4 linked regions of the Rhinolophus ferrumequinum genome follow. The protein of the gene in region 4 purifies or fractionates together with the protein of the main gene of each other region. This does not show direct contact. Links are inferred from orthologs where the notes say so. Each region holds a gene or a part of one and is shown on either strand. Other genes may lie near its edges.

Evidence for each region.
Region 1: the proteins of AP1B1 (region 4) and AP1S1 fractionate together in Homo sapiens (co-fractionation; 6 studies listed by BioGRID and IntAct, with this or other methods). This does not show direct contact. The link is inferred for Rhinolophus ferrumequinum from reciprocal best matches to the Homo sapiens genes AP1B1 and AP1S1.
Region 2: the proteins of AP1B1 (region 4) and AP1M2 purify together in Homo sapiens (affinity purification with mass spectrometry; 3 studies listed by BioGRID and IntAct, counting the BioPlex papers as one, with this or other methods). This does not show direct contact. The link is inferred for Rhinolophus ferrumequinum from reciprocal best matches to the Homo sapiens genes AP1B1 and AP1M2.
Region 3: the proteins of AP1B1 (region 4) and AP1S2 purify together in Homo sapiens (affinity purification with mass spectrometry; 5 studies listed by BioGRID and IntAct, counting the BioPlex papers as one, with this or other methods). This does not show direct contact. The link is inferred for Rhinolophus ferrumequinum from reciprocal best matches to the Homo sapiens genes AP1B1 and AP1S2.

Annotation. Positions count from the first base shown.
Region 1 is NC_046290.1:91,232,431-91,239,352, reverse strand, and holds the start of AP1S1 (AP-1 complex subunit sigma-1A), read right to left. Parts: upstream 3,003-6,922; 5' UTR 2,899-3,002; coding exon 2,896-2,898; intron 1,107-2,895; coding exon 928-1,106; intron 1-927. UniProt on the Homo sapiens protein: Subunit of clathrin-associated adaptor protein complex 1 that plays a role in protein sorting in the late-Golgi/trans-Golgi network (TGN) and/or endosomes.
Region 2 is NC_046301.1:39,729,044-39,736,872, reverse strand, and holds the start of AP1M2 (AP-1 complex subunit mu-2), read right to left. Parts: upstream 3,005-7,829; 5' UTR 2,889-3,004; coding exon 2,847-2,888; intron 1,654-2,846; coding exon 1,497-1,653; intron 1,264-1,496; coding exon 1,196-1,263; intron 1-1,195. UniProt on the Homo sapiens protein: Subunit of clathrin-associated adaptor protein complex 1 that plays a role in protein sorting in the trans-Golgi network (TGN) and endosomes.
Region 3 is NC_046284.1:114,702,759-114,709,722, reverse strand, and holds the start of AP1S2 (AP-1 complex subunit sigma-2), read right to left. Parts: upstream 3,019-6,964; 5' UTR 2,787-3,018; intron 675-2,786; coding exon 496-674; intron 1-495. UniProt on the Homo sapiens protein: Subunit of clathrin-associated adaptor protein complex 1 that plays a role in protein sorting in the late-Golgi/trans-Golgi network (TGN) and/or endosomes.
Region 4 is NC_046308.1:18,833,317-18,841,140, forward strand, and holds the start of AP1B1 (AP-1 complex subunit beta-1), read right to left. Parts: upstream 3,015-7,824; 5' UTR 2,858-3,014; intron 1-2,857. UniProt on the Homo sapiens protein: Subunit of clathrin-associated adaptor protein complex 1 that plays a role in protein sorting in the late-Golgi/trans-Golgi network (TGN) and/or endosomes.

The sequences.
Region 1 (6,922 bases), on a different chromosome or scaffold from region 4:
TAAGAAGTACAAATTGGTTGTTACACAGTAGTTATGGGGATGTAGGGTCCAGCATAAGGAATGTAGTCAATAACATTGTAATACCTATGTATGGTGTCAGATGGGGACTAGATCTATCGGGGTGATAAATGGGAGAGGGTTAGGGACAGGGTAAAAAAGTTGAAGAGATTAAGAAATACAAACTGGTAGTTATGAAATAGTTATGGGGATGTAAAGCAAAGCATAGGGAATAGAGTCGGTAATATGGTAATAACTATGTATAGTGTACTAGTCAGGGGGATCACTTTGTAAATTATATGTCTAACCACGATGCTATATACCTGAAATGTAATATAAAATAACATTGAATGTAACTGTAACTGAAAATTTAAAAACGGGGGGAAAAGATAAAAGGGAATAAGAGGTTTAAAGTTCCAGGTATAAAACAAACAAGTCTTGGGGATGTAATATACAGCATAGGGAATATAGTCAGTGATATTGTGATAGCGTGGTACAGTGTCAGATGGTGGCTGACTTATGATCACTTTAGCATAGGGAATATAATCAGTAATGTGGTAATAACTCTGTATAGTGCCAGGTGGGTACTGTTGAATTTCTATGAGGTACATTAGCTGTATTTTAATAAAAATCTTAAAAAAATAAAAGTGGCGCAGGATTTATGACTGTTGAATGAGACAGCAAGAGACATGTAGGGACTTTGGGACGGAGGTATGTGGTAGGTGTCAGACTTGAGCAAAACCAAGGAACAGGACTTTCTTCAAGGTGAGTGTGAAAAGGAAAGGAAGCTGGAGTTCATCACTGCCCTCCAGATGTCCTTCGCTCCCAGTTCTCCCTGACCTAGGGGCCACTTACTAATCAGCCATTTAAATCCATTGCCAGACCCAATCAAGCAGGATCCAGGCAGCTCTGAAAGTAGGTGGGAGTCACCTCTTATAGACGACTTTGAGGTCCCTCCACTCCAGGAAGCTGCACATCTTAGGCTTGCGAGCCAGAACAACCTGCATAAGCTCACGAACCATCTTCTTTCTCTCTTTGTCTGACGTGGCCAGGTACCATTTTTGCAGCCTCAGCTTTCCCTGCCGGCTGAACAGCAGCATGAATCGCATCTGGTGTGTATGGGGGGAGAGGCAGAGATTTGGTTCTCTGAGTTTCTTGCTTTCAAAAACACACAGCCCCAACCTCATCCTATCTAACTCTTCACTCACAGCTTCTACTTTCTTTAAAAAATCAGCCATTGCTCCCAACTCTGGGTATTCCCACCAGCTGGTGCCTTTCCTTCTGGTGGGGGGCGTGGTGTCAGAGCTTCTGAGTCTGCCATTTGGGTTCAAATCCTGGCTCTACTAGTTAAATAATTTGCCTTGGACAATTACTTTGTCGATGAACCTGTTTCCTTGTGTGAAGATGGAGATAATAACTACCTACCTTACAGAGCTGTTAGGATGGATTCAATGAGATGACATATGCATAGTGCCTGGGGCATGGTAAGCACTGTAACACATTAGGCAGCACTACTATTATTCTCTGATCTCCTGCTTCCTAACCGTTTTTCCCAAGTAGGTAAAGTGCCTAGCACAGAAACAAGTAGCCCATAAGTGATGCCAAAGAGATGTCTGCTTTCTTCCATGCCCCTTCTATCCACCACCATGCTAAAATCGGGTATTTTTGTCCCTGGAGAAGCTACTTCAATTGTCCACTCCATGCTAGTCACGCTGCCCTCCCATGCAGTCCTATGCCAAGGAGTACCCTTCAGATAAGCACATGACACTGGGATCCCCAAATTCCACCCTTCTCTCTCCTCGCCATTCAGACATTTGGCCATTGATACTCCTCTCTTCTTTTTATGGTGCTTCTCCCTGCGTGCTCACTGCCCCCCCCCCCCATACCAGGTGACCAATTTCCCTTTCAGTTCCTCAGTTAGGACAGCAATCCAAGGCGGCTCTCCTAGGGAATGTCTGTGGAACAAAGCCCAAGCTGGGTAGAGCGGGGAAGGGTGCAGAGCCCTCGATACCCTGTGTGTCCCCAGCTACTCAGTTCCAGGGGGTCCAGGCCACATCCCGGAGTTATCGCCTTCTCCCTGCAGTTCTCCTCTCCACGGATATTACCAGGGCCGGAATCCCTGGGTGTGTGGAACAGTACTAATTTAGTGGGCTAAAGATCAGAAGTCAAGGTTTTTTTGGTGTTGAGGGAGGGGAAGCGTTGCTGGCATAGTGGGAAGGCAACAGAGGGGCCCAACAGAGCCGTGCGCGTCTAAGATGGGGGCAGGGGCGGGCAGGAAGACGGAAGGCCGGGGTTCCGGAAAGAGAATGGGGTGGGGGCAGAGAGCAAAGAGCACGGAGTCGGGATTCCAAAGCCTGGGTCCCCACGAGCAAGACCTCGAGCCCACTTAGCTTCCCCACCTCACCCAGGCTCTAGGCGAGCCGGAGGATAAACAGAGGCAGGACGTCCACTCCTCGGACCTGGAAACTATGCCCTCCCACACAAGGCTAACCCCACCGGGCGCCACTCCTTTCAGGACCGCACGGGGACAGAGTGTGACCCGCGCTCCCCCGCTGCCAACAGGCCCTCGTGCCCCTATTCCTCGGGCGACTTCCCTGCGGCAGTGGCCGAGACGCCTTGGATCGCGACCCGTGCGCTCCCCCTGGTTCGGGATGGTCCAGCCACCGCTAAATCAGCCCCTCTCGTCCCACTAATATGCCTTCTTCCCGCCCCTTCTCCCTAAAGCCATTTCCAGCTGCTCCTTTCCGAGGCCGGCTGTCCCACCCGCCCAGGAAAGTGAGGGCCTCTGAGGAACAGAGGAAGAAAGAGCGGCTCCCACAAACGGCGGCCCCCAAGGACCCCCGCAGGTGCAGCCCACGCCCCTCGGTTCCCCCTCCCCTCCCTTTTCGCACAGCCTACCATCCTGCACCCTCCGGCTTGGCGCGTCCCTCTCCGGCCACCGTAGGTGCCAGCTCCACTCCCTTTCTTATCCTTTTTCCTTCTTCCCGCCCCTCTGGCTTGAAGCTCCGCCCCGTTCCGCCCCTTCACATGAGCACTGCGCAGGCGCCAACGCTGCGGGGCGCGCGGGCGGGGATGGAGGCGGAAAAGCGAAAGCCATGGCAACCAGGTCCTTGACTTCAGCTTTGAGTAGCTCTGTCGTCATGGTAACAGGGCTGTCCTGTGGGCTGGATGGAGAATGGGGGAGGACAATGAGGTCCTCGCGCTTTGGAACCTTGGGGGGAAAAGGCGGGAAAAGGGGTGCGAGATGGATGGGAGGATCATTGGGGCTTGTGAAGAAGTAGGGGGAGGGGCTAATGAGAGGGATGTGGGCGATTGAGAGGGACCAGGGTGGGAATTGGATGTAGGGAAGGAGGAATGACGAGGAAGACTGAAAGACAAAGGATGGGGGGGCAGACGTGAGGAAAGTATAGAACTCAAAATAGATATCTACCTGCTAGGTGAACACACTCTTAAAGTAACAGAAATGTGTAGGTAATGAGGGAGATGAGAATAAAAGATAAAAGGAAGAGCTGATATAAAAATGATGTAAGGAAAGGGAGGAGAAACATGAATTATGGAGAAAGGGGAGAAATAAAGAGAATCTTAAAATGTTAGCATGGGTCAAAACTAAAAAGGAACGGATATAATCCAGACACAAGTGTAAAGATCAGGAGCATGTAAATTGTAATACAAGCTTTTTAGCTGAGGATGTGCATGTGTGAGTGTGTATGCCAGTGTGTGTCTATAATAAAGGAGTTTGCATATAAGAGAAAACCTTAAACTTTGTCACGCTAAAAGCTTAATGGCTATTTCTAGATAATTGTTGGTAACTACCGTGTTTCCCCGAAAATAAGACCTAGCCGGGGAATCAGCTCTAATGCGTCTTCTGGGGCAAAAATTAATATAAGACCCGGTCTTATTTTGCTATAATGTAAGACTGGGTCTTATATAATGTAATGTAATGTAAGACCGGGTCTTATATTAATTTTTGCCCCAGAAGACGCATTAGAGCTGATTCCCCGGCTAGGTCTTATTTTCGGGGAAACACGGTAATGGTGCTGTTATTTTTCAGTGGCACTTGAAGCAATTGTTGGTAAGATCTTACCTGTCTCCGCTTTATGTTCTTTTCTTACTCTGGTATGGAGATACTATGCTGTAGTTGCAAGAGGATGGTCTTAATTCACCTGGGATGCAATCTGGTCTCTGACCCTTACTAGCCTCAGGTGAGTCATTTAACTCTCCATTTCATCATTTTAAACATGAGGATAGAAATACCTACGTTGCCAGGTGGTTCTGTGGATGTATAGAAAGTACCTGGCACACTTTAAACACTTGCTAATGACAGCAATTATCATTATTTCCCTTTCCCAACTTCTTCCTCCTACTACTTTTTATTCTTCCTTTCTTTTTTCATCTCCCTTTCTCCTCTGCCTATACCTTAGTCTTGGCAATGGCATAGACATTGGTTGAACTATCTTGTGGTGTGTGTTTTTTTTTTTAAGATCAAGAATAATATCAATGAAGCAAATTGTTAGATTTAGAAAGGGTAAATCATTATGGAGTGAAAAGAAGGAATCGGAGTGTGTAAGAAGGGCAGACGGCATAACAAAGTAAAAAGAGGTGTGTTCTCTTTCACAGGGGTGAGGAGAGGTTGTGTATAAGAAAGTAATGAGTAGTGAGGGAAGAGTATAAAGCAGAGAATGAGGCAACAGCCTGTGGAAGTTTAGAAGCTCTAGAGATGTAAACTCCTACACTCCTGGGAAAGCTGGCACTTTCTAGAATTCCTTGTCTCAATGTGGCATGCCTAGCTACAGAAAAGATAAGATTCGTGAGAGAATTGTTAGAAATAAGGGTTTAGCTCATGTAGAATCATAGAATTCAAGTGATTGAAACTAGTGAGAAGACGTTGGACTGGATTTCTTCATTGTTAATGATCAGTGAATGTAGAGGATCTATGAGTTAGTGGATCTAATATGGCTTGTGTCCTCAAATGAGTTCACATTTCATTCAGTGGCAGTTTGGGAGTCATTATGGTCATCTGGGCAAGTGAATAACTTGGTGAAAACAGTTTTAAGAAAATTAATCTTAAACTGATGTGGGGGACAATTTGAAAAGACAAATGGAGGGCTAGAAGGTCATCTAGGAGGCAATTTTGGGAGTCCAGGCACAAGGATGAGATGGAGAGGGACAAATCGAAGGGATGCCTGTAACGGGCCAATCAACTGAAAGTGATAACTCATCGACGTAGAGAAGAATCAAAGTGGCGCCATTTGTATACATGGCAAAATGGAAGAGGTGAGCTTCTTCCTTATAGATGCGGACGGTGTTTGTGTTGTCACCCTACAAACCATGCTGACACCTCCTGGTGTCTTCCCTCATCTGGTTGAGAGGTGGTTCCTGCAGTGGTTAGAAGAGTGGCCCAGGTGGCCTCTGAAGCCCTTCATCTCTATAAGTCTGTGATCTGAGTTTCTCCCGCTAGTGATGCTCTCTGCACCTATTTTTTGCACATTAAATAGTTCATAGGTCCCTAATAATGTCATTTTCAGTCATCTCTGGATTTTCATATTTTTTAACCAAGCAGTTGGGATCTTATATGATGTTCCTAGCAGTCCTGACAATTAAAAATACTTTCTGTGGTAGATGTTTGCCATTCTTTTTCACCTCCCAAGTTCTAAACCCCCTTCCTAGGGTTTAGGAATATCTGCCTTATGAGTCTAGGGGAGCTAGAACAGTCTCCTAGTGTAGCATTTAAAATGTCCAGATATTGGCTTTTACAGCTTTCTTTGTACCCATAGCCTGGGCATGTCTGCTGGACTTGGCCAATCTGTGCACCCAGCAGGTCCAGGAGGGAATGAGGTGGGGATGGGACGATGGAGGGCAGGCGAGACTCTGGCAGAGGGTCAGACAATCAGATTCCTGGGGTAGCAGTGGAGTGGCCCCAAATCACACTAGTGCCCTCCATGGACATGACACTGCCATTGGTACCACTCATGCCATATAGTCCATTGGCCACGTGTGTGTGTCAGTCTCATGTGTGTCAGTCTCATCTCTCCAGCTGGATTGTAAGCTCCTCATTGGATGGTGTCTTATTCAATTTTTGTTTCTTCACAACACCCTGTGCAGTGCTTGTTGATTGGCTTCATTTATGATCGTATATATAGTTGTCAAATCTAGATATTTAAATCTTACTTATCCAAAATATGCTACATTTTACTTTCATATTTAATAGTACATGTTTACTATCTATTATTCCTGCTAGATGATAAACTGTCTTCTTTTGCTGTTTCTACCATGCCTGGCACAGTGGGCATCTGATATTTGTGGAATAAATGTATAATGGATCCCCATTTGAAAATTCCATTGTCATGTCAAACTTCACTTGCCAAAAAGAGTTCCTTCTTCCTACCTTTTCCTGAAACCATCCCATCTCTTGCTTTCCCATTGTGGTCAATGTCACTGGTTTTTCCTAGGCTTACGGACTATCTATCTGGGACATGACGGCAACATAAAAGCATGGCTTATTCAAGGGACACTGATAAGACTTGCCTGACCAGACTAGGAGAGGGTAAATGGAAGAGAGGGAGAGACAACTCCCTCTGGCTGTGCAATCAGAGGAGTAAGGCAGCAGTCTGCTAACCAACCTGGTGACTTGGGATTTTATCCTCCGGTGTGTTCCTTGAACCTGACTTGCTATTATTTTTACTTTATGATTTTGTTCACACTGTTTTCTGCAATGCCCTGCCATGGACATAAATTTCCTCCCCATGGACCTAAATTTATCTTACTCATCCTTTAAGTTTCAATCAAGCAGCCGCTCCTGATGAGCCATTATGCTCAATGGTGATCATTTCTACAGTGTTCCTTTCAATCATTTCTGCAGTGACTCACATAGTGTTTCAGCTTTTTGGTGTCTGTTCTCCTTAGGTACTCAATAGTCAGAAACATC
Region 2 (7,829 bases), on a different chromosome or scaffold from region 4:
TTGGGTACAATAATGAGGAAAACACAAGGAAAGTAGGAGCTCAGAGGTGGGGAGTTCCAGGAAAACTTCCCAGAAGAGGAAATGGAAGGACTCAGAACTACGGTTGTTTTTTTGCGGGCCATGGATCCCTGCATATCTGACATCTGGTGACATTCACAGACCCACCTCAGAATAAGATTTGTAAATGCATAAAATAAAATAGAATGGCAAAGGAAATCTGTTATACATAAATATGACTAAGTTCATGAACTACAGGCCCGTGGAGGTTTGGGAACCCCAAGTTAGGAGCCCCTGGGAATTAGTAGGCATAACCATAGCAGAAACCTGTCAATCACCAAGATTTGAACCACCCTCCAATCCTTATTCTGCTTCAATCTCACTGACCTTTCTATTCCTACCCCAGGGCCTTTGCATAAGCCATTCTGTCTGCCTGGGACACTCTTCCCCCAGCTTGCCTCACAGAGGGCTGCTTGTCAACCAGCTCAAATACCACCTCCTCAGTGAGGCCCCCTCCCATGAGTGTCAGGCTATGGTGACATTAACATCCCGGTCACTGATTTAATATTCTCCTGTTTGATCTCCTTTATGTCTCCTCAGGACACAGGGAAATGCATAGCTGTGTCTGCTCTTTGTCTGACAGAGAAAAGACAAACCAATAGATATTTCTTGTTAAAAAGTATTGACTAAGCATTTTCTCAGTCATTGAGAATGGCACATAGTAAGCACTCAATAAATCATTATATGATTTTATAACATTAGTGATAAAGCTAACAACACCAAACCTTTATTGAGCACTTATTGTATACTGAGCACTGTTTTAGGCATATTAGAGGTATGAATTTGATCAATTTGTACAACACTGTGGCAGGACTTGTTGTAACCCCCAGTTTAGAGGCATAGAGAGAAGTGACTTGCTCAAGGTCACACAGCCAGGCAGTGGAGGGAGCTGGGATTGGAACCCAGTTCCCTCTGACTCATATATGAGCACTGACACCCTCTCAATGACCCCCTAGATCCCTGCCCTATAGAGAGAGATGATCCCATAGCAGCTAGTGAGAACACAGAGTGATGGGGCTTTGATGGGGGCACCCCCAGGGAGGTCAGGCAAAGCTTCTTATGAGAGATGGATCCTGAAAGAGGCAGGCAAGACAGGTGGACACACAGACCAGCAGGCCAATGGGAGGCCAGGACCTACCTCCACTGTCTTGTAGAGGAAGGAGTACACGAGTGAGGCATTGGCGTTCTTCAACGTGGTGGCCACCACTGTGGGCAGCGAGGTTAAGAAAAAGGTGCCATTTGGGAAAGGGATCAAATGGAACACAGATCCTGAACCCCCCACCCTACCCCCATCAGCTCCCCCATCTCTGCCTATTTCCACCCCACTCTTGCCTGAGCTTCCACCGATGTGCGATGCAACTGCTGTCCTCAGCCTACCCTCTCTGGGTCTAAGCTGCCAACACCCTGAGCCCCCACGGATCCCACTTGTAGCCGGATACAGTAGAGGTTGCTGTGTTTGATCCACAGGAAGTGGACCCGACCATGGCTCAGCAGCGGGGCCAAGGCGCCCTCCTCCTCCCGCTGCATGAGCAGAGGCATGAAGTGCTCTATCTCACTCATGGCCACATCGCCCTTGTAGTTGCGGCTGATCAGGGGCTAAGGGTGGGCAGAGAAGGTCCAGTCACCACTGGGATCCCAGGACCCTCCACCCAGGGACATCAGAGTGCCTGGTTCTGACCTTACTTCCTGGTCGAGGGGCCTGAGCAAGGCTCTGCCTCTCTGCATCTCAGTTTCCTTCTCTGTGAAATGGGTATATGATAACCATAGCTAATGTGTCTAGAGCCCTCACTGAGGTCCAGGTCCTGTTCTACTAAAGACTGGATGTTTGCTTGCTGATCAAGTTCTCACCACACCCTGTAAGGTAGACATGTACACATGGGGAAACTGAAGTAAGAACCATGTCCATAGTAACTGGGAAACTGGGAGATGGACCAGGGTGCCCGGGCTCCAGAACTCCTGCTCTTGCCCAGGACTTCATATGCACCAAACTGGTGAGGTTGGGATAAAAAAAGATGAAAGGAAGGAGAGATTATAGAAAGAAAAAGAAAGATTACAGAAAGAAAAAAGTAAAAGAAAAAGACTGTGCCAAACAGAAAGAAAAGAAAAAAAAGTACGCCCATATCTCTCTTTCAGCTCATACAGATGTGTCTGGCAGGCAGTAAGCAGTCAATAATAATAGCATCTACTTGGTAAGGTTGTTTAGTCCTGTGTTTAGAACAGGGAGGGTACACGGCAGGTCCTCAAATACCTTAGCTCTTACTATTATTATTATCAGGAATGTTATTTTCACCACCACTGTTATTATTGCTATTGAATGACAAGATGAATGAGAGGGTGCTCAGAAAGGGACAAGGCAACCCCAAAGGGGAATTAGGGTCTCCCAGCTCCTGCTGTTTTCCCCAAATATTAATACTGTGGATGATGATGGTGATAGAAATAACGATTTCTGTCTTTGAAAGTCTGATATTTGCAGCAAGACTACTGTGCTAAGTGGTTTACACGCAGTTGTATTAACTGTTATGGGGTGGGAACCTCTGTTATTCCCATTTCCAAGGATAGGGAGACTGAGACTTAGAGAGGCAAAGCCCCTTGCCTCACGTACGCGGCTAGTAAACAGCGGAGATGGGATTGTACCGGGGACTCCCCGGGATTGGTGGAGGAAGTGTTCGCAAGCCCCAGGGCTTTCTGGGGCCTCCCTGCCTGCTCGGAGGAGCCGACCCTGGGTCCGGGGGAGCGCAGCCTCACCTGTGCTTCCCCCACCTGCGCCCCACCCCTGCACCCAGCCTCACCTTGCCCTTGACGTCGAGGATGAAGACAGCCGAGGCAGACATGGAGGCAGCGAGCAGATCTAGGAGGAGGGGAGGGAGGTCAGGAGACGACTGCGGCGCTGCTTCCTTCTTCCTGCGGAAGCGCCCGCGCGCAGGTGAGCGCGCACAGGTGAGTCTTAAAGGGGAGGCCGCCAGGTGAGCGGCGCTGTCGGCGTACAAGAAGAATGCGGGGGCTGGAAGGGGCAGGGCTTCAGAAGGGACCGCTGCCCTGCCTCACTTTCCCATCACACCCAGGAGTGCTGATGGGTGGAAACCCTAGACCGTCCATCCATGCATCCATGCATCCATCGTGCGTCCATCCATCCATTCATCCATGCGTCCATCCTTCACCCATCCATCCATTTATCTTATTCCTCCTCTGACTTTCCTACACGCATGTCAGCCCCAATAGGACTGGGACTTTGTCCTGTTCACGTCTGTGTCTCCAATGCCCAGCACTGGGCGCTCAATAATATTTGTCCAAATCATTCATTCTTTCACTCATTCATACAATAAAAATTTATGAATTATTCTTTCACTCAGATATTTACTCACTAGTACATTCTTTCACTCAGTGAAAGGAACTGTGGGTTGCACTCCAAGTAGGATAAATGTAGCTGCTTTTATTATTATCCTAATGTTACTCTTATTCATTCCAAAAATATTTATAAGCTCCTACTGTGTGACGTTAAGATGTTGATAGAATGTTGAAGAGATAAATGGTTATTACTATTATGACGATAATATTATTCATTTAACAAACATTTATTGAGCACCTACTGTGTGCTGCACTGAGCATATAGAAGCTTCTTTCATTATGGTGATGATACTGTTGATGATTCACTCAGTGAGTATTTATTGAGCACCTTCTGTGTGCTAGGGATGGCGACATAGACAAAGCCACTCCACTGCTCTCATTCTAGGAAGGGCAACAGACACACAACATAAAAACCCTGGGCCGGCCCGGTGGCTCAGGCGGTGGGAGCTCCGAGCTCCTATCTCCGAAGGCTGCCGGTTCGATTCCCACATGGGCCAGTGGGCTCTCAACCACAAGGTTGTCAGTTCGACTCCTCGACTGCCACAAGGGATGGTGGGCAGCGCCCCCTGCAACTAACAAGGGCAACTGGACCTGGAGCTGAGCTGCGCCCTCCACAACTAAGACTGAAAGGACAACAACTTGACTTGGGAAAAGTCCTGGAAGTACACACTGTTCCCCAATAAAGTCCTGTTCCCCTTCCCCAATAAAATCTTTTAAAAAATAAAATATAAAAATAAAAACCCCAAAATAAGATGATCCCTGGAGAGGAGGGAGGACGGGAATGATGAGGCAACTGAACTGTCAGCAGGGTTTGAGAGTGCGCATTGGAGAATGAATAAGGGGCTGTGGGCAGGGAGATCAGAGAAAGGGCTAGCATTTGAAAAATTTCCATTACAACCTAATGAATCGGGACAACCCAAGAGAAAGATTCCCAGTGCAGAGCCTGGCACAAAGCCGGTACCAATATTGTTTTTGTTGTTGTTTATATATTGTTTATATATGCTTGTTGAGCGCTTGTTATAGCTGCTTGGGCTCAAGTCCTGGGTATGCAATGGACCAGCTGGGTGGCCTCAGGCACCTGGCCTCCTCTCCCTGGATCTGAGTTTGCACATCTGTGAAATACAACTGGTAACTGCACGTTCTTAATTAAGTTATAATGTAGATTGCATGAGTTCTTACATGCAACATGATGTTTGGGGCAATGCCTGGGATGTAGCTGACACTTAATAATGTTGTTATTATTTGCTATAATTATTAGTATTTACTATATGGCAGTTAAGAGCACAGGTGCTGGGTTTGAATCCTGACTCTACTGTTGACTGTGGAGTATTGGGTTAGTGATTGCACCGCTTGTGCCTCAGTCTTCCCTTCTGTTGAATGGGCATAGCAGCCATGGTGTTGCTGCCACAGGCTATGCTCACTGAGTTTCTGGGCATAACTCATGCCTGGCACAGTGCCTCTTCTCCCTGCACATCAACTACTGTGGACCCCGGTTCCACTCCATGACTGTGGGATGTGGTCTGCAGGGAAGTTTGGGGGAGGAGAGAAAAGGGAAATTCAATCTCAGCCTGGCTGGGACAAATCCTGCTTCACAGAGCGTCCTGCAGGCCTGCAGGGGAGGACACTCAGCTCTCCCAGGCCTCATTCCTCCTTCCCCAAAGCCAGCCCCAAACCTTCCTCAGCCCCTGCGGGGTGGAGTGGGCATCCCTGCAGGGGACTTGAGGGAAGGAAGAGAGAGAGCTGCGGCTCTCAGAGCTCCCCATTCCCCCACCGCTGGCATCTGTCGTTGACAATAACACAATAACCACGGCAGTCCTGCACATTCGTTGGGCACTTATCTTCCAGTACTTCTTCATGTCTTTTTTTTTTTTTCTTTTAAGTTTGTTATTTTTTGCTGTCTTTGACTCTGGTCTTCCCAACTATGGTTTTCCTGATAATTCAGGACCTGAGAGGAAGACCTGGTCTTCTTACATCAGAAGAAGCGGGGGCAGGGAGAGGTGAAGCCACTTGCTTAAGGCCACACAGCCTGGAAGCAGAGTCAGAATTTGAATCTGAGTCTTCATAAGCAGCGTCCCAGCCTTCATCCAACTGCTCTGCTGCATCGTGGGGTACAAGTATTACTATGACCAGCAATAGATCAGGCCTCTGTGGGGTTCACTCTACCCAGGTGCTGCCCTCACAGTCTCCCATACAGGAACCCCTCCAAGAAACAACACTTAGAATTAGGGAAACCTATTATCATCATTTGACAGAGAAAAACTGAGGCTCAGTGAGTGAGCGACTTATACAAAGTCACCTGCTAGCAGTGGCAGAGCTGGAATTCTAGCCCAGCAAACCCCAAGGTTTTATGCTGGCTCTGCCCAAAAGAGGGATGTCCTCCATGATCCTACCAGTCCCAAGCTCAGAAGGTGACTCGGGGGTTTCACATGTTGCCAGCCCCAGCCCTGGCATCACGGAACCTCACAAGGGCCCTTCTCCTGGGGCCCTGGGATGTTTTCAGGCAGTAAATAGGACGCAAAAGCTGGGGCCAGGCGCCCTGGAATCTGAAACTCAAGACCTGTTTGGCTGAAAAATTTATGAGCCCAAAAGCTTCAGTGGGGTCAGAGAACAGAGCTTCTCTGTGTAAGCAGCTGCCCCGCCTCAGCTGCAGCTTCCCCTGTCCCAAGGGCCTGTGGCCTTGCCCCAGTTCCTCCTCTGTGCCTATAGGCTGCCCAGCCTCCCCTCAGGCTTCCCGCTTCTAGGCACCCCATTCAATCCCTTCTCTACACCACTAAAGGAATCGCTCTGAAACTCACCGCTCTTACCACCCACCCTCACTCTCTCATCCACTATGGCTCCCCATTGCTCAGAGCTGCCCTGCCTGGCACAGTTAGACCCCTGCTGACCTCTCCCATGAGGCACCACTTGAACCCACTGACCCAAGACACACTGACTTCCCTAATGTCAGTTCCTCTCTGTCCTTCTGTCTTTCCTCTGGCACCTGACCGCTCAGTGCATACCTGCCCCTTTTTGCTTTCTGTACCTCATTCTCACTCAGCTCTCAGGTGTCTGCTTCAGGAAACCCTCTCTGAGCTCCCATGCTACGTCTAGGTCAGATCCCTCCTCTGGGCTTTCCCAACTGTCCCCTGTCACCTGTGTTACGTCTTATTTTTTAAAATCTATTTTTTAAAAACTTTTATTGTGGTAAAATATACATAACATACCATTTTATTCATTTTAAATGTACAGTTTTGTGGCATTAAGTACATTGCCATTGTTGTGTAACCGTGCCCACCATCCATCTCCAGAATTTTCTCATCTTCCCACACTGAAACTCTGTCCATTAAACACTCACTCCCCTCCCCTCCCCAAACCCCGCGCACCACCATCCTCTTCCTCCTGTCTCTATGGATTTGACTCCTCTAGGAACCTCCTGTAAGTGGATTCATACAGTATTTGTCCTTTTGTGACTGGCTTGTTTAAATCTATTTTTTTTGAAATAGGGTTTTAATTACCCGAGAAACAAATAAATAGTCCCTGCGATTAAAAAAGGGAGAGAGAGAACACAGATCAGAAAATCTTGTCCCCTTTGCTGGCCCCACTCCATCCTGCTCCCTCTAACAACCACTGGAGTGTTCGGATCTTTTTCTCTTTAGTTTCATGAAGGTGTGTGTGTGTGTGCGCGCCTGTGTGTGTGATGTTCTCTCTCTCTCTCTCTCTCTCTCTCTCTCTCTCTCTCTCTCTCTCTCTCTCTCTTTCTCTCACCATACATGACTAAACACTAAACACCACTTGCTATTTTTACTCACCAGTAGGACCTAGAAGCCCAGCTGGGCTACACTGTCAGGGTTGTGCTTGAGGGACCACGTGTGGGTTGTGAAGTCAGGCTCTAAGACATGTATAGCCCCACGCCGACCAACTGTGACTGTGGGTAAATTAACCTCCTTGTGCCATTTTCCGCAGCTAGAAAATGGTTGCAAGCATTTAATGAAAAGCACTTAATAAGTTGCCTAACCTCTCTGTGTCCCTTTCCCCAACTGGAAAATGGATATAAAGATTTAATATAAAGCACTTAATTCCTCCCCTAATGCTGAATAAGCTCCCTACAAACATCAATTCTTGTTATAACCTGCAGAGCCACTTCCTTCTTTCTTAAATTATTTTAAAATTTTCCATTTTTAAAATGTAGCATATAAGAAAGTCAAGTAACTCACAAACTGAACCCATCTGTGTAACCACAATATTGTTTCCAGTCCCCTAGAAGCCACCCCGTGGCCCTGCCTGTCACTACCTCCTGCAAAGGCAACCGCTAATCATGTTCTGGTATCATAAAGTAATTAGTTATTCCTGTTCTAGAACTTCACACAAAGGTGTCTGGCCTTTTTCACTGGGCATAAAGCTTATTTATTTATTTTTTATTCATTCATACTGTTGCACTTACCAATAGT
Region 3 (6,964 bases), on a different chromosome or scaffold from region 4:
TTTAAACATCTATATGACTGAAATGGTCTATGTATCCAAGGTGTTTATAAGTAAGATTCTAAAAGTCAGATAAAAGGCATGTCAATTAGCAGCCATTACTTTATAGATTTTGGGGGAAAAGGAAAGGGGGGTGAATGCTTGTCTAAATTTAGAGAATTACTCACACAATTTAAAATACTGATCCTATTTTCCCTTGCAAAGGAGTGAATTCATTGAATTTTTCTAAAAAGATGATTAAGCATGAATAATCATTTATGCTTTAATTATATAATTAGTTTTAAAACTACTTCTGTGATTTTATCATTTTAGCCTGGGTAATCAATCAAAACAGTTATTTTAAAAATACAAAGCTTTAACTTGAAACCGTTTTCATCTAAATCTTTCTTAATCCTTATTTATAAATGTCATCTCTCAAAAGCCTGCAATTTCCACATTACAAATGACCAAACACATTTGATTCTGCTATTTCACCTTTCTGAGAAATAAAAATCATACCTCTTGTAAACAATCTTCAGATCTCGCCACTCAAGAAAGCTGCACATTTTAGGTTTCCGAGCTAAAACGGTTTGAACAAGTTCTCTTGTGATCTTTTTCTTCTCTTTGTCTGATAGTGGGACATACCACTTCTGCAGTCGAAGCTTTCCCTGACGACTAAAAAGCAACATAAACTGCATCTGTTAAGATAAATAGAAACAAAATTACATGCAATACTTTGATACAATAAAGTTAAGATTAAGATAACATGTTTCATAGAGAAGCTTTGGGAGGGCAGGGTGTTTAACTGACAAATGATTAGTAGTCATCAACATTTCTAAGCCAGTTAAAGTAGCAAGAAATTCTTGTACAAAGATCTTCCCACCAAATGCAAATCTCCCCACTCCACCCTGTTCCACCTAAGTTTGGAGTCAGTAGAACATAAGAAACACAGGCATTAACTTGGAGTGAAAATTTTGAGGAAAAAGATTAACTTGCAATTTAAGAAACTATTGTCTACCTGTGCTATATTATATTCCACACTCTCCATGTGCATCAAAAGAGAATTGTTGACCTCAACTGGTTTAGGTGCATTTGAAAGAAACAGGAGATTTACCCTGAGGCTGTTCTAGTTCCAGGATGAATTATGTGTAGACAGACTACTATCACTTGGAATGCTCTCTTCGGTTTATGCTAACATGTTTTAAGCAAAACAAGACCTAAAATATTAACCAAGAAAAAACATCCCATAAACGCACATTTTTCTCAATAAAAGCCTAATTTTTAAGTATCTCTTCTCATCTTTTTAAAAATTCCAACATAAATATGCACATCATAAAGAAGTGGCAATGTAATATTATGAAAGAGAATATAAACCTTTAAAAAGCCAAAATAAGAGTTACACACATTCAGAGACATTACACGAAATATTTCATTTTAAAAAAAACACATAGCATTTACAGATGGAATGGATGCTGAATTCTAGTGTATTTTACATTTAAAATTATTTTGTATATAAAATCTGTTGATTAATCTACATGTTTAATCTTTAAGAAAAGCTTGTAATTCAACTGGTCTTCTCAACCGCAAACAGATAAGCATTGTTTCTACAGAGGTAATTTAAAAGTAGAATCCAGACAGGTATTTTTTTTCTTTGAACTATTGTAAGTTCCTTTAATAGTGTTACTGAAAATAAGAATCCAGCATGATTCTTAATATTCACCACACCATCTTGAATTTGAACATGGGGGTGGAAGAATTTACACAACCAATTTAGAATAAAATGGGCCCTACATCTCGCTAAGAAATTATTGCCGCTTTTTGCATTAATCCAAACAGGCATCAGCAAGACATTTAGAAATTTATGATGCGGCAATTTAACTTTATTAAAGTTAAAATTGTCTTATTACACCTCACTTAAAACGCTTCACTGCCACAAAATTAACGAACAATATTCGTGATATCAAAGTGCCTCCCATACAAGTCCTGTTAAGACAGCGGCATTCGAAGGGGACGGCAAGTAAAGCATCAACTGGACAACGTTTAATGCAAACCCGTTATCAGAAGTTGGAAAATAGACCCGTATTCCAGGATCTCGGTGACCAGGAGGGGTGGGGGTTTGCTTTCGAAAGGAATATCGGCTTCAAGGCTGTCTGTAGCAGGGTCCTGTATCCCTCTCCCTACCACTTTATAGGACAAATAAATAATTCACTCTTCAAAATAAATGATGTGCTAATATGGGACGATATTCGGTTGCAAGGCACAAGTATTCATTCCCTCTTGTTAAAAACTAATGCTTTGATTTTGCCGCAAATCACAGGCCACCTCAATTCCTCGAGATTGGTATTAAAAACAATGGGTTCAGCCACGGAGCGGGCTCGGGGCCAGCGTTCCTCGGACCGGCCGTCTCCAGTGCCTCCCCACCGCCCCACGGGGCCGCACTCCATCACTGACCGAGCCCAGGCGAGGTGACAGGAAAGGAGCGGAGCAGACAATGGCATCCGCCGCCGCGCAGCGAGCGCCAAGGGTCCTCGCCCGCCCCCGCCCCCGGCCCCTCCCGAAAATGCCCCGCAAAACTTGAGGGGATTCCGGAACCACAGGTGCCGCGGGGCCACCGCAGCGTCCGTGACTGGCCCCTTCATCCTGGGGCGCGGACGCCGAGAAAAGTGAGTTGCCCGGCGCCGCGCCCCAGTGGCGGACCAGGCGGGCGCGGGGTGGGGTCGTTGGGGCGCTCGCGGGGCGGCTGGGGGCGCGCCCAACCCTCCCACCCCACTCCCCGTCCCCGGCGCTCCTGTTCGCCTTTTGGGACTTACGGCGGCCGCAGGCCGCGGATGCGGCGAGGCTCGGCCGGCGGCGGCAACGGCCGAGGCTGAGGCTGAGGGGAAGCCCCTGTCGCTGAGCTGTGGAAGAGAAGCCGTGTTGCTTGTGGGGAGGGGACCCGGTTAGCGAAGGGAAGGCTTAGGCGGCGAGGGGAGGGCAGGCCGACAGACCCCGCCCCGGGGGCCGGACGAGGGAGGAGCCGGGGCTGCAGCGAGCGGAGGGGCGGGCTGGGAGACGCGCGGGAAGAAGCTCGGCTGTCACCAACGGCCCTGAAGGCAGCACAGCTGACCGCGCAGCCCGAGGAAGCCGATTGGCCGCGTCTCTACCAAGAGGGGTGGTCTGGACCGGAAGCCAGGCCACGTGACCCGGAAGCGGCTGCGGGGTGCCGGCGCGCCTGCGCACTTTTGGGTGTGCCTTTGAGACGCGCGGTGGGCTTCCCTGGCTGTTTGGGCGGCGGGAAGACAGCGTTCGGCCGGCGCCCTTTGTCGACCCTCCGGTGCTTTTTGTCGACCCCGCTGTGTGGGGTAGGGAAGGTTTGGACTGCGAAGAGCCAAGTTTCGAGTTCGGATAACTCTCCATGCCCCAAGAGGGTGGGACAGGGAGGCGTGACAGTTGCTGATTACGGTGAATGGAGAGGAGTGCTGCAACTCTGGGGAAAACAAGTCAGCTCTGCCTTGGAGCTCGGGCCTTTTGCAGTTATTCTGGCTCAAAACTGTCGGGAATCCGGCCCCTTCTTCCCTTCTACTGCTACATCCCTAGACACGTTTCACCCCAAGCTGTACAAGTGTCTCTACCCAGGGCTTACCTCGCCCATCCTCAGTGCTGAGGACCTGATGTCCATTCTCTGCTGAAAAGCCCAGACAGCACCTCCTCTTCGAAATCCCGCTTCCTTCATACGGAGAACCCCCCACACACACACAGCCGCCGGGGTTCCAGTTTAGCCTTGCTGACGACCTACTCTGCCTGGCATGCCCTTCCTCTCAAATGTCAATCTCCTATGAAGCCTCACCCTCAAACTCTGTAAGAACGAATCTCTTTCACCCACATGCCCATTAACCTCTGTTTAGCGCATCTTGAATTGTATTCATTTTTCCATTCCAGCCTTGTTCACTGCCTGGTATATAGCACAACTAATAAATTTGAGTTGACCGATAAAGGACTATAAAATGATAGATTTGTTAAGAGCCGTGGTACTGAGCATTGTTCCTAGCACCTAATGGATGTCCGTATTTTTTTGAATGAAAGAAAGGGTGAATCGTCTAGTCCGACTCTATCTTTTACAGATGAGGAAAGAGGAGCCCCACGGGATTAAGTGACCTTGCTTGAACAGACACGGGTTTCTCAAGTCGAAAGCTATTCATTACCCGTCACCAAGGTTCTTAAAAAGGAAGCTGGAAAATTGCTTTTGTTGAGTTACGTCCTTTTTGCGGAGGTTTCGAAACATAGTCGCCAGAATTTTTTAATGACTCAAAGTGAAAAAGAAATGCTAAGTTTTTCATGAAACTAAATGTAATCAATTTAAAGGAATCCTTTATTAGGGATGATGTTCTTTTTGCGTGTTAAAATGTCTATAAAACTAAGGTAGTACATAACACGGATTTGGGGACATTTTTTAGTGCCCTTATTTGGCAAAATAAAAAATGTATTATACCTCCTCTTTTAAGCATACTATGTTGCTTGGAAAATTTCCTACTAACATGTATGACTAATCTATACTGGAATATTGGAGGTAGTCCACCCAAAGCACAGCTGACTTTCTGTAGGTCTTTAGCCTCCCTGCCCAAATTTTTCTCTGCTCCCTGACCAATCTGCCCCAAAGGCACATATTAATGTTTCATTTCTCCCTTACTACACAAAACAGATGTCATGCCATGAAAACTCGCCCTCTGAATCCAAATGCTGCTTTTCTCTTTGTCTGTATAAAACATATATTCTCGAGCTTCCTGATGTAACCACCTCCAAGTTTAAACTCATTGGTCATGCTCCTAATGTTGGTCTCTTCTGAATATGAGGACGGAAGACTTGCTGCTGATATCGGCAGTCTCGTGTTCCTAAGGCAAGAAAAGGTGGGTGTTGGAGGTAGGAAGGGAAAGGAATTATGGGAAAAATAATTAGCGACTGAACGCAGCTATTACATAATCTTGGCTGCTTATTAATTTAGCAGAAGGAATGGCTTATTAAATTCTAATAGCAACGGCACAAATGCAAACAACCTAGCAATTAACAGTGCAGAGCCCATTGTTAATGTGTTCTCTTCTTTTGGCAAGTGTATAAGAACAAAATTTATAGAAGCAGATGGTCTTTTTTTAGTAGATTATAGATGGTTTATTCCCCAGTCTTAGTATTAAGTGCTAATTATGCATTCGCCATGAAAGACAAAAGAAGCTCTGTTACTATCTTTGTTAGTAGTTAACTGCTTGACTTTCATTCCCACAGTTTTTAAATTGTGGGCTTTGTTAATGCATGTTTTTCTCACCTAGTTTCTTATTCGCCTATCATGTGAAGAAGGTATCTTTTTAAATCTTCTGCTTTTGTTATCTGGGTGGTCCTGAATTCTTGGTTGTTAATGATGGCACAAAAATATTTTCCATGAAAAATTAAAAATCAGATTTTAGGTTTTTTGGGGGGTACAGGAGACATTTATTACAAAACCATTTTTCATGGAACAAGAACATGTAGTTTCTTGATTCAAGGCTGCCTGATGTTTCCCAATTTCAATGGCCCATGTAGATAAAGGAAAATTCAGCAAAGTCAGAAGAGAAAAGAACAGATTTATCCTTAAGTAGGAAAGATAACCCTGTCCCCCTGTACAGAAGGGGAAGAATTGAAGCGTTTCTGGTAACCTACCTTTTATTTATTTTTTTTAATTGAGATATAATTGGCATGTAATATTGTATTAGTTTCAGGTGTACAACATAATGATTTGATATTTATATGTATTGCAAAATGATCACCACAATAAGTTTAGTTAATATCACTTGTTTCTTAAAAAAAAAAAGTACCTAGCTTTCATTTATGCTAAATGCAAGAAGTGAGTGTGAAATAGGGCGTCTACCTTCTAACTATAAAGTTTTGAGACTTTTTATGTAATCTTTTAAAAGTTTTCAAAAATAGTTTTAGTTTCCTGTTAAATGTGGACGGCCATATGCTTTTTTTATCTCCTCTCCCTTTTTTAATTTTTTTTTAAATTAAAAAAAAAGAGGAAAGTTTGAAGTATCTATTCACATGGACAATGAGACAGGGGACATTAGCATGAGAATGTCAACAACCATGTCAGGGTACACTGTAGGCTCATTATTAAACACTGACAATTTAAGTAAAAATTATAATGTGTTTATATTGGGAATATTGAGGAACAGAAGTAGGGGATGTTGAAATATTGCTAATTTCTCACACACTGACAGTAAGAAAACATAACATCTAACATAAATCAAGAAATAGAATTATTGTTGTGTTCTTAGGTACCAGGAAGTAAATTCCAGAAGCAATGACTCTTTTTCCAGGGACAGAATCTTCGTAGGATTTAATAAAGGTTATTATTATATTTTACTTTAGTGCGGGTTTTACTTAGGTATTTTCAAAATGTTGTAGTAGATAAAAACCTTTCTGTTAGTGCTAACACTATATTGTAAACTCATGCAGAGTTCCTTTAATCTATACTGTATTCCTTAGAAATTGATTGCTAAGTAAAAATGCCTTGTAATGAAATTTAGTGCTGAATCAGTGATCACAATAAGTGTAAAAAAGATGCTTAGAGCTTGTGAATTTACATCTTCAACGATAAAGTTGTTTCTAAGAGAAAAGTGGCCTAAAATAATGAAGATTTGTTAACCAAAGCATCTCAAATAGAGCTGTCACTGCCAAAGTTCTCAACAATGAGCTAAAGAGAAATGTGTAACATATGCTCTTTCTTGAAGCCTGTTTCCATAGATTTCAATAAAATGCAGGAAAATGACTCTTCCCTTTTGATATTAGGTAAGAACAATGATTCTCAGCGTGGGCAATTTTGCCTCCCCCCCAATTCCTTCTCTCCCCCCTCCCCCCCCCCCCCCCCCCCCCCCCCGCCCCCGCCCCTGCAGCGGACACTTGGCAGTGTCTGGAGATACTTTGGTTGTCACAATGGGGAGGAGGAGGGTGTTGGTGATGGTGTTGCAATGTACAAGATAGCTCC
Region 4 (7,824 bases):
CCAAGCAAGCAATAACAACCCACTGTGAACAGTGCCACATCAAAGAAGAGCATCTAGTTCAGGCCTGCAGGGTAGGGGGTATTGATCAGATGGGAGGCACCAACAAGTGGTCCAGCAAAGGAGGATGGTCACAGGAAATGGTGTTCAGGCAGTGGGAACAGCAGAAAGCAAAGCCACAGAGGTATAAAGAGTTGGAGCTTTGCAGAAAAGCAGCTGAATTTGATTGGAGCCTGGGAGGAGGTGGAAGCGTGGAGTAGGAGCCAGGCAGGGGTCATGGCCCAAAAGGCCTTGGATGCAATGCTAAGGAATGTGAGTTTAGCCTGAGGGAAAAGAGGAACCACTCGTGGATATGCAAGCAGGATTTTTTAAAAAGGATCCCCCAAGTGCTCGAGTGACATTTTCTCTCTGGAGCTATTTGTTCCTCTGTGCGTGAAGAGAAAACGAATACAAAAACCATTTCTGGGTTGTGATAATTTATCCGTGACCTATCTTAGCTAAAAAGACCTGTTGAGAAAAAGAAACATCTTCAAATAACAGAGGCCCCCTCGGCTTACAGAATCACACCAAAGAGCAAAACCCATACCCAAGCCATGTTTGCACACTGTCAGCACCTCTGGCTTTGGGGCTGGGCGGTGGGGTTTTCTGGGAAGTGAGCAATTAAGACTTGCAACAGTTTCAGAGGATGACTAGAAAAAGATGTAAGTCCAAGCCCAAAGCCAGCAGGACTAACAGACTGCACTTGTTCTGAAAACTTTTAGGAAGTGAAACCAGAAGGATAGAAGTCCTGTGTATATAAAGATCTCTGTTTGCAGAAGTAAGTAACACCCCACAAACCAGAGTGACAGCCTTCCCCAGGCACAGGCCCCCAGCAGGCATCAACTGCCTCGGGTTAAGGCACCCACTACAATAACAGGCTCTGTACAAGTTTCCTCATCTCACCCCAATACCCACCAGTGCTGGGGGCAGGGGAAGGAAAGTGGCGGCCAGGATTATTTTAGAGCTGAGGTAAGGGAGGCCCAGCCTCAATCAATTGCCCAGGGCAAACTACCAGGAATCTGCTGAGCTGGGGATGGGACCCAGGGTTCCCTGATGGGGACATGGGAGTGCGTTTTCCATTATACACGAGCCCTCTGCTCAACCCACACTCAGCAGAGCGTCCCTACATAACCTCGGAGGGGTCCGAGTCTTTGAGAACCAGTGAAGCTGCTCTTCACGAGTTTCTAAGAGATCAGGGGAGCCTGGTGGGCTCAACTCGGGACAGGGAGTCAGATGCTCTGAGCTCTGCTCATGTTCCTACATCTGTGACAAGTCCCTTCATCTCAAATCCTCTCTTGGAAGGAGAGGGATAAGGTGACAATATTAAGTTTCTGTGAATTCTGTGCAACTAGGAGAACGGATCATAAAGTTAAAAAAAAAAGGTATTACAGTAGTATTTACAGCCCAGCTTTCTTCAGCGGCATGTGGAAACCTTCACGGGTTCATTAAGTCTTGGAACTCGCAGGAGTGGGTAGGAAGGCAGCAGGTTTTTCTCATGCTACCGTCAGGGAAAGTGAGACAGAAGCGGAGCAAGTAAGTGTCTGTACAGGACGAAGGCGCAGCCTCACAGAGCCCAGTTCTCAGCCCACCAAACCACCTCCCGGTATCCCAGGCCACACGTGCTTTCCCCAGCCAAAAAGTTATGGGGCCGGCACTTTTCTGAGGGACACAGACCCTTCTTTTGAGAATGTTGTTCAAGAACTAGGGCCAAAAGATCCCCTCGGGGTCATGTAGCTCGTCTCTTTATTCCAAAAGGAGTGCAGCTCAACCCCTCTCAAGGAGAGTTTCTGAATCGTCTTAAATTAGAGTCATGGATTTTTTGTTTTGTGTCTCATGGTTCCCAAGAGTCAGGAAAAACTTCCACTGGCCCTGAAAGGTTATCACAGCAATAGTCTGAAGGGCTGTTTCGTCCTCAAGAAGGTGAATCAAAGGCCCCTTAAGAATGTTAGATGAGAAGCAATAAGGCGACATCTTTACGTAGGTGCCAAGAAATATAATGATAATTAAAGATATTAAATAACCCCTATACCCCGACCTTGATGCAGCGTCTTTTTGCTCTGCACTTTGTGGGGCCCTGAAAACCTGAGTAGGAACCCTGGCTCTGCCTGTACTACCCGATTGACCTTACCACGTGTGATTTAACCTCTCTGGGTCTCAGTTTACTCACTGATAAAATGGGGATAACAACACTTGCTACCGCACAAGTCGTTGTGAAGTTTATGTGCTGCCTTGCAAGTAGAGGACTTAGCACAGCGCCTGACGCACAGCAGGGGCTCAATAACCAGTAGCGAGCTTTTGCCTCCGTATTCTTAGTCTTATTACAGATGCCCTCAGTTAACCTGTCCATGAGACACCGACACACAGACCAAACCCAAGGCCACCACGGAGCAGGCGGCTGTTTCTTGATTTCTTTTTTTTTTCCCCCTTTTCGAACCTTGGCAAAGAGATAAGGACCTGAACGACGAGGAGGCCTCAGGATGGCCAGAGGGGTGAGTACAAAGGAGGATACGAGGACCCGAAGGGGAGTTTCCCTTCTGGCCCGGCGCAGGCTCCTCGGGGCCTAAGTCTAGAAGTCTCTCTGGGAGGACACCTCAGGAGGGGCTGCGGACCTGAGGAGGCTGGAGTGCAGGCCCGCGGCCAGGGAGGCGCGAATGAATGAACCCGCAGTCCTTCAGGCTCGTCCGAGCCTGGGAAGCCACTCTACGCCCCTCGCGCGCGCCCCGTCACCTCCGTGACCTATGACCCCGTACACCCCTCACCTCAGACCCCCGACTCCCCGCCCACTTCTTCTCCAACCTCGCCGGACTCCCCGCTTCCTCACCCGCAGGTGCGAACGGCTCTTGGCAAAACAGCGCGGCTCGGCTGGGCAGCAAAATGTCCGCGGCCTCGTCCTCCCGCTCTCCCGGTGCGTCCCTGCCGCCAGCTGCTCCGAGCCCCGCGGCTGTCACCTGCCCAGCGGAAGTGAGCTGCTCGCGCGCGGGCACTTCCGGTGGACGCACAGCCTGGGGGCGGGGTCAAAGGTGTCACCCTAGCGGGAGGTGGTGTCCGCGGGGCGGGGCCAGAAGGGGGCGGAACCGTTCGGAATTAACCCCTTCTTAGCCGCGGCAGGGCTTCGCCAATGTCTCCTGTAGAGCGCTGAGAAAAATTAGCCCCCTAACCGCTCAGTAATTTAACGTGGATGGAAAAAAGGGTAGAGACTTTGAGGTCCATCTCTTCCTTCTGTGTTGCAGAGGGGAAAACTGAGGCTCTGAGAGGGGCAGGGTTTTGCTCAAGATCACTCACCTCATGAATGGACGAGTCAAAACTAGAGCTACAAGTCTAGTCTAGCGCTTGTTCCCCTTCAGTGCAGCCCTTTGGAAATTCTGCATTGTAGGGGGAAAATACTAGACCCTCCAAGGAACTTTTATCCAAAGAGAACTTCATAATGTCCCATTTCCCCTTTTTTTTTTTTTTTTTTAAGATTTCATTAGGACTGAAAGGACAACAACTTTACTTGGAAAACAGGCCTGGAAGTACACACTGTTCCCCAATAAAGTCCTGTTCCCCTTCAGTCTTAGTTGTGTCGGGCACAGCTCCGCTCCAGGTCCAGTTGCCATTGCTAGTTGCAGGGGGCACAGCCCACCATCTCGACTCGAGGAATTGAACTGGCAACCTTGTGGTTGAGAGGATGCACTCCAACCAACTGAGCCATCCGGGAGCTCAGCGGCAGCTCAGCTCAAGGTGCCGTGTTCAATCTTAGTTGCAGGGACTTGCGGGACTTGAGGAATTGAACTGGCAACCTTGTGGTTGAGAGCCCACTGGCCCATGTGGGAACCGAACTGGCAGCCTTAGGAGTTAGGAGCATGGAGCTCTAACCGCCTGAGCCACCGGGCCGGCCCCCCCATTTCCCTTTTGCTGGCTCTGCCAGGACTTTGATTCCCATAGCCACTTCACTACCCACTTGTTCTATTAACTTTCTCCTCCTTATAGTTTTTTTCTTTTTTTTCCCTTTCTTTCTCTTTCCTTTTTCTTTCTTTCGTTTTAGGAACAAAGAATTTAGTAGTCAGGGCTAAAGCAATTAACCCAGAAAATATTTTAAGTAAATGTTTTTTGGGTTTGTTATTTACATCTTAATTCCAGGAAGATAAACTGCTATTAATAGAATGAGAGCATCACATTTTAACATTTTAATTACACCATTATGGGCATAAAAGACTTTAATTAGCAAAAAGGCCTTATTAAACACAAGTACACATCTCTAACTTTGTCTTCTAAAATATTTTATTATTTTTATTTTTTCTTACATACTTTTTACTTTTATTTTTCAATTAGCGTTGACATTCAATATTATTTTGTATTAGTTTCAGGTGTACAGCATAGTGGTAAGACATTTATATAATTTACAAAGTGATCCCCGCAATTGGTCTAGTACCCATCTAGCACTATTACATAGTTATTGCGATATTATTCACTATATTCCCTCCACTGTACTTAACATCCCTGTGACTATATTGTAATGCCCCACTCAGGTTCAAGCCGTTGTTTCTCAGTCTAATTGTGTAGGACACAGCTCCCTGGCCCGTGCTGGTATTATTGGCCCTACCCTTGCTAAACCTACAGTTTGTCCAGGGAGAGTAACAGAGCTGCAGACACAAATGTGATAGGGGATACACTGGGGCTATGGGAATCCAGAGCAGGAACTAAAGTTCCCCCAGGGTTGAAAGGACCAGGGGAGGTCTGGACAATTGGAGGGCATTTAATCTGAATTTGCAAAACAACAATGAATGTTTATGTGCCCGTAGTCGGTAGGCAGAGGGTCTCATTTGCTCCTCACATCAGCCCCATTTTATCTGGGTAGGGACAAACTGCAACTCCAAAAGCTTAAGTCAGTGTTTGAGTGGCAGAGCTGAGGGACTGGTCCCAGAGCCCCAGAATACGTGCTTCATAAGTCCTACTCACTCGCCTAAAATATATTTGTCACTCTTATCTGAGCCAGCCATTTTGGGGATACAACAGTGAACACGAAGTGGTACAACCTCTCCTTGGGACTACTGTTAAGTGTGGGAGAGAGGCAAATAAAAGGACAATTATAACACAGCTCAGAAGGACCAGGGACGTATAGGAGACTTGGGCACCAAACTCAATCTGGGAAACTCAGGGATGGCTTCCTGGAGGAGGTGACATCCAGCCTGAACTGTGAAGGATGATATTACTACTACTAATAATTGCCATGAACCAGGCACTGTACTAGGCTCTTCTACATATTAACTCATTGAACTCTCCTAACAATTTGATTCCACAACTGTCCCCAAGTAAAGATGAGAAAACTTAGGACAGTGGGCAAAGCCAATTTCTCCGCCACTTCCCTGTGGGCCTGGGCCTCCTCTCCCATAGCTCAGTTTGTCAGGAGAGCTAAAAATATAATACTAATAAGAGACACAGCTCAATGCCAAAGGCTAGATAATTACAGCCTGCAGAGGTGGAAGACAGAAGTGGGGAAGAGAGGCTTCTCGGGGGCTTCCCTCTTCATCTCCACCACTGAATCCAGCTGGCCACCTACTCGAATCACACTCACTATCAAACACTCAGAGCTGTGTCTAGAACTAGAACAGTCACATCTAGGGCACGTGTAGTCCACACAGGCCCTCTGAGACCCCGGGCCCAGGAGGAGCCCCTTGCTCCAGGATGGGTGGAGCAGAGCCAGTGACGGTCAAGCCCACTTGGAGAGAGAAACAACCTCTCCCGACAAATACACCATTACTAACAATAACATCCCCTCCTATCTGGAGGAGGAAGTTTTAAAACTTTTCTCCAAACCCTATTCATTTCTTCCCTTCCCTATTGAGTTGGCTGACGTTGGACAGGTTTGTCAACCTCTTTGGACCTTAGTTTCTCCTTTCGGAGAACTCTGAACCCCTCCTGGGACAAGTACCACTGTATGTTCTTGACATCTATCACCATTCTCAAGTGGTGGGCACTATGATAACCCCCACTTTACATTGAGGCCCTGAGAAGCTGAGGAACTCTCCCAACTTCACGAGGGAACAGTGGGTCCATGCTTTCCCCCTTGCCCCATGCTTACCTGCTTCATGACGTTTCATCCAATCAGGGGAAGGTTGGAAGTACTTGTGATGTCATGAAATGACGCAGGACCTGCTGCTGGGCTTCAGCTACTGCGAGCTTCAGCAAGTCCCTTTCTCTTTCTGACACACAGAATCTCAGAGCCCATCCTTCTAACTCTATCGCCACACTGATGCATAATACTAAGTACTGTATGTTGAATTAAGTATTCTTTCCATCTTTGCCCACTAGAGGGCCCACAGGTGACATTAATTGCCACCCTTCCCTTCCGGTGAAATTTTCCCACAGGCAGCTCACAGAATGACTTTCTATGTACTGACCTGCTTTCTAGATTCTTCTTCTTATGTGATTTCTATTCCTCTCCTTCATTTTCTGCTTGCTTGCTGTTTTTATCCTACAAATTTCTAAAAGTTGCCTCAGATCCTTTCTGGAAGGAGGCAGGAGGTGACTTTGTCCACAGCCTCACTAACAGGGCCAGCCCCCCACCTGCTGAGGGTGGACAGCTCCAAATCCTTCCCAACCAGGGCAGGCCTGGCACAGCCCCCATGGCAGAGGGGTCTAGAGGCTGCCCGGGACCTCTCCTCTGCCCCCATTTCTCCCTGCTGCAAACGCTCGCATTCCCCCATCCCTGTTCTTCCCAGGAGCAAAATTCTGCTCACCCTCTCCTGGCTCCATTGCCACCATAGGCCATTTCTCAAAGGGTCTGCTGTCCCCTCTCAATTGCCCCTGAGAGGACTGAACCACCCTTTGCTGGTGCTATTGAAAAAGCCCAGCCTCTGAACCCCGCCTGGGTTCAAATTCCCAGCCGTGGGACCTCACTTTCCAATTTGGAAAATGGGGCTGATTGGGTGTCCATGCAAAGTTGTTAAAGAGATTAAATTGTAGAACTTACAGTGCCTGGCAACCTATAAACAGCCCCTTCCTCAATGGGAGCTTCTATTTGTATTAGTATTAGTTCAACTCAGCCACTTCCTGGCTATGTACCTGGGAACACATAACTTAGCTTCTTTGAGCCTCAGCTTCCCCAACTAGAAAATGGGACTAGTCCCCTTACACAGATGTCAAGAGAATTACAGTGGATATTGTAGGTAATGTTCTTAGAGCCATGCCCAGCAAGCACTAAATAAGCAGTAGTGACTGTGATTATTAAAGGCCATGCATTAGGGCACAAAGAAAATGTCAATAGACTCCAGTATAGAAGAATTGGAATTAATACATCATTCTTTGATGACACTCTAAAACACTAAAAATAATAAAACCAGCAAACCAACTACACCTGGCAAATAAAACACTCTCTTCTAAATAATCCCTGAAACTTCTATGCATGTAACTATGCTCCCTTCTGAAATCCCACCAAAACAATAGTAAGGGAATTTTAGAATTTTGATAAAGTGTATATAACATAAAACTTACCATTGTAACCATTTTAAAAAAAAACTTTTATTTATTTAAGTGTTTTTCCAGGACCCATCAATTCCAAGTCAAGCAGTTGTTTCAGTCTAGTTGTGGAGGGCACAGCTCACAGTGGCCCATGTGGGGATCGAACTGGCAATCTTGCTAGAGCACCACGCTCTAACCAACCAGCTGCCCCACCATTTTAACCTTTTGTTTTTTTAAATTTTATTGGGGAATACTGGGGGACAGTGTGTTTCTCCAGGGCCCATCAGCTCCAAGTCGTTGTCCTTCAATCTAGTTGTGGAGGGCGCAGCTCAGCTCCAAGTCCAGTCG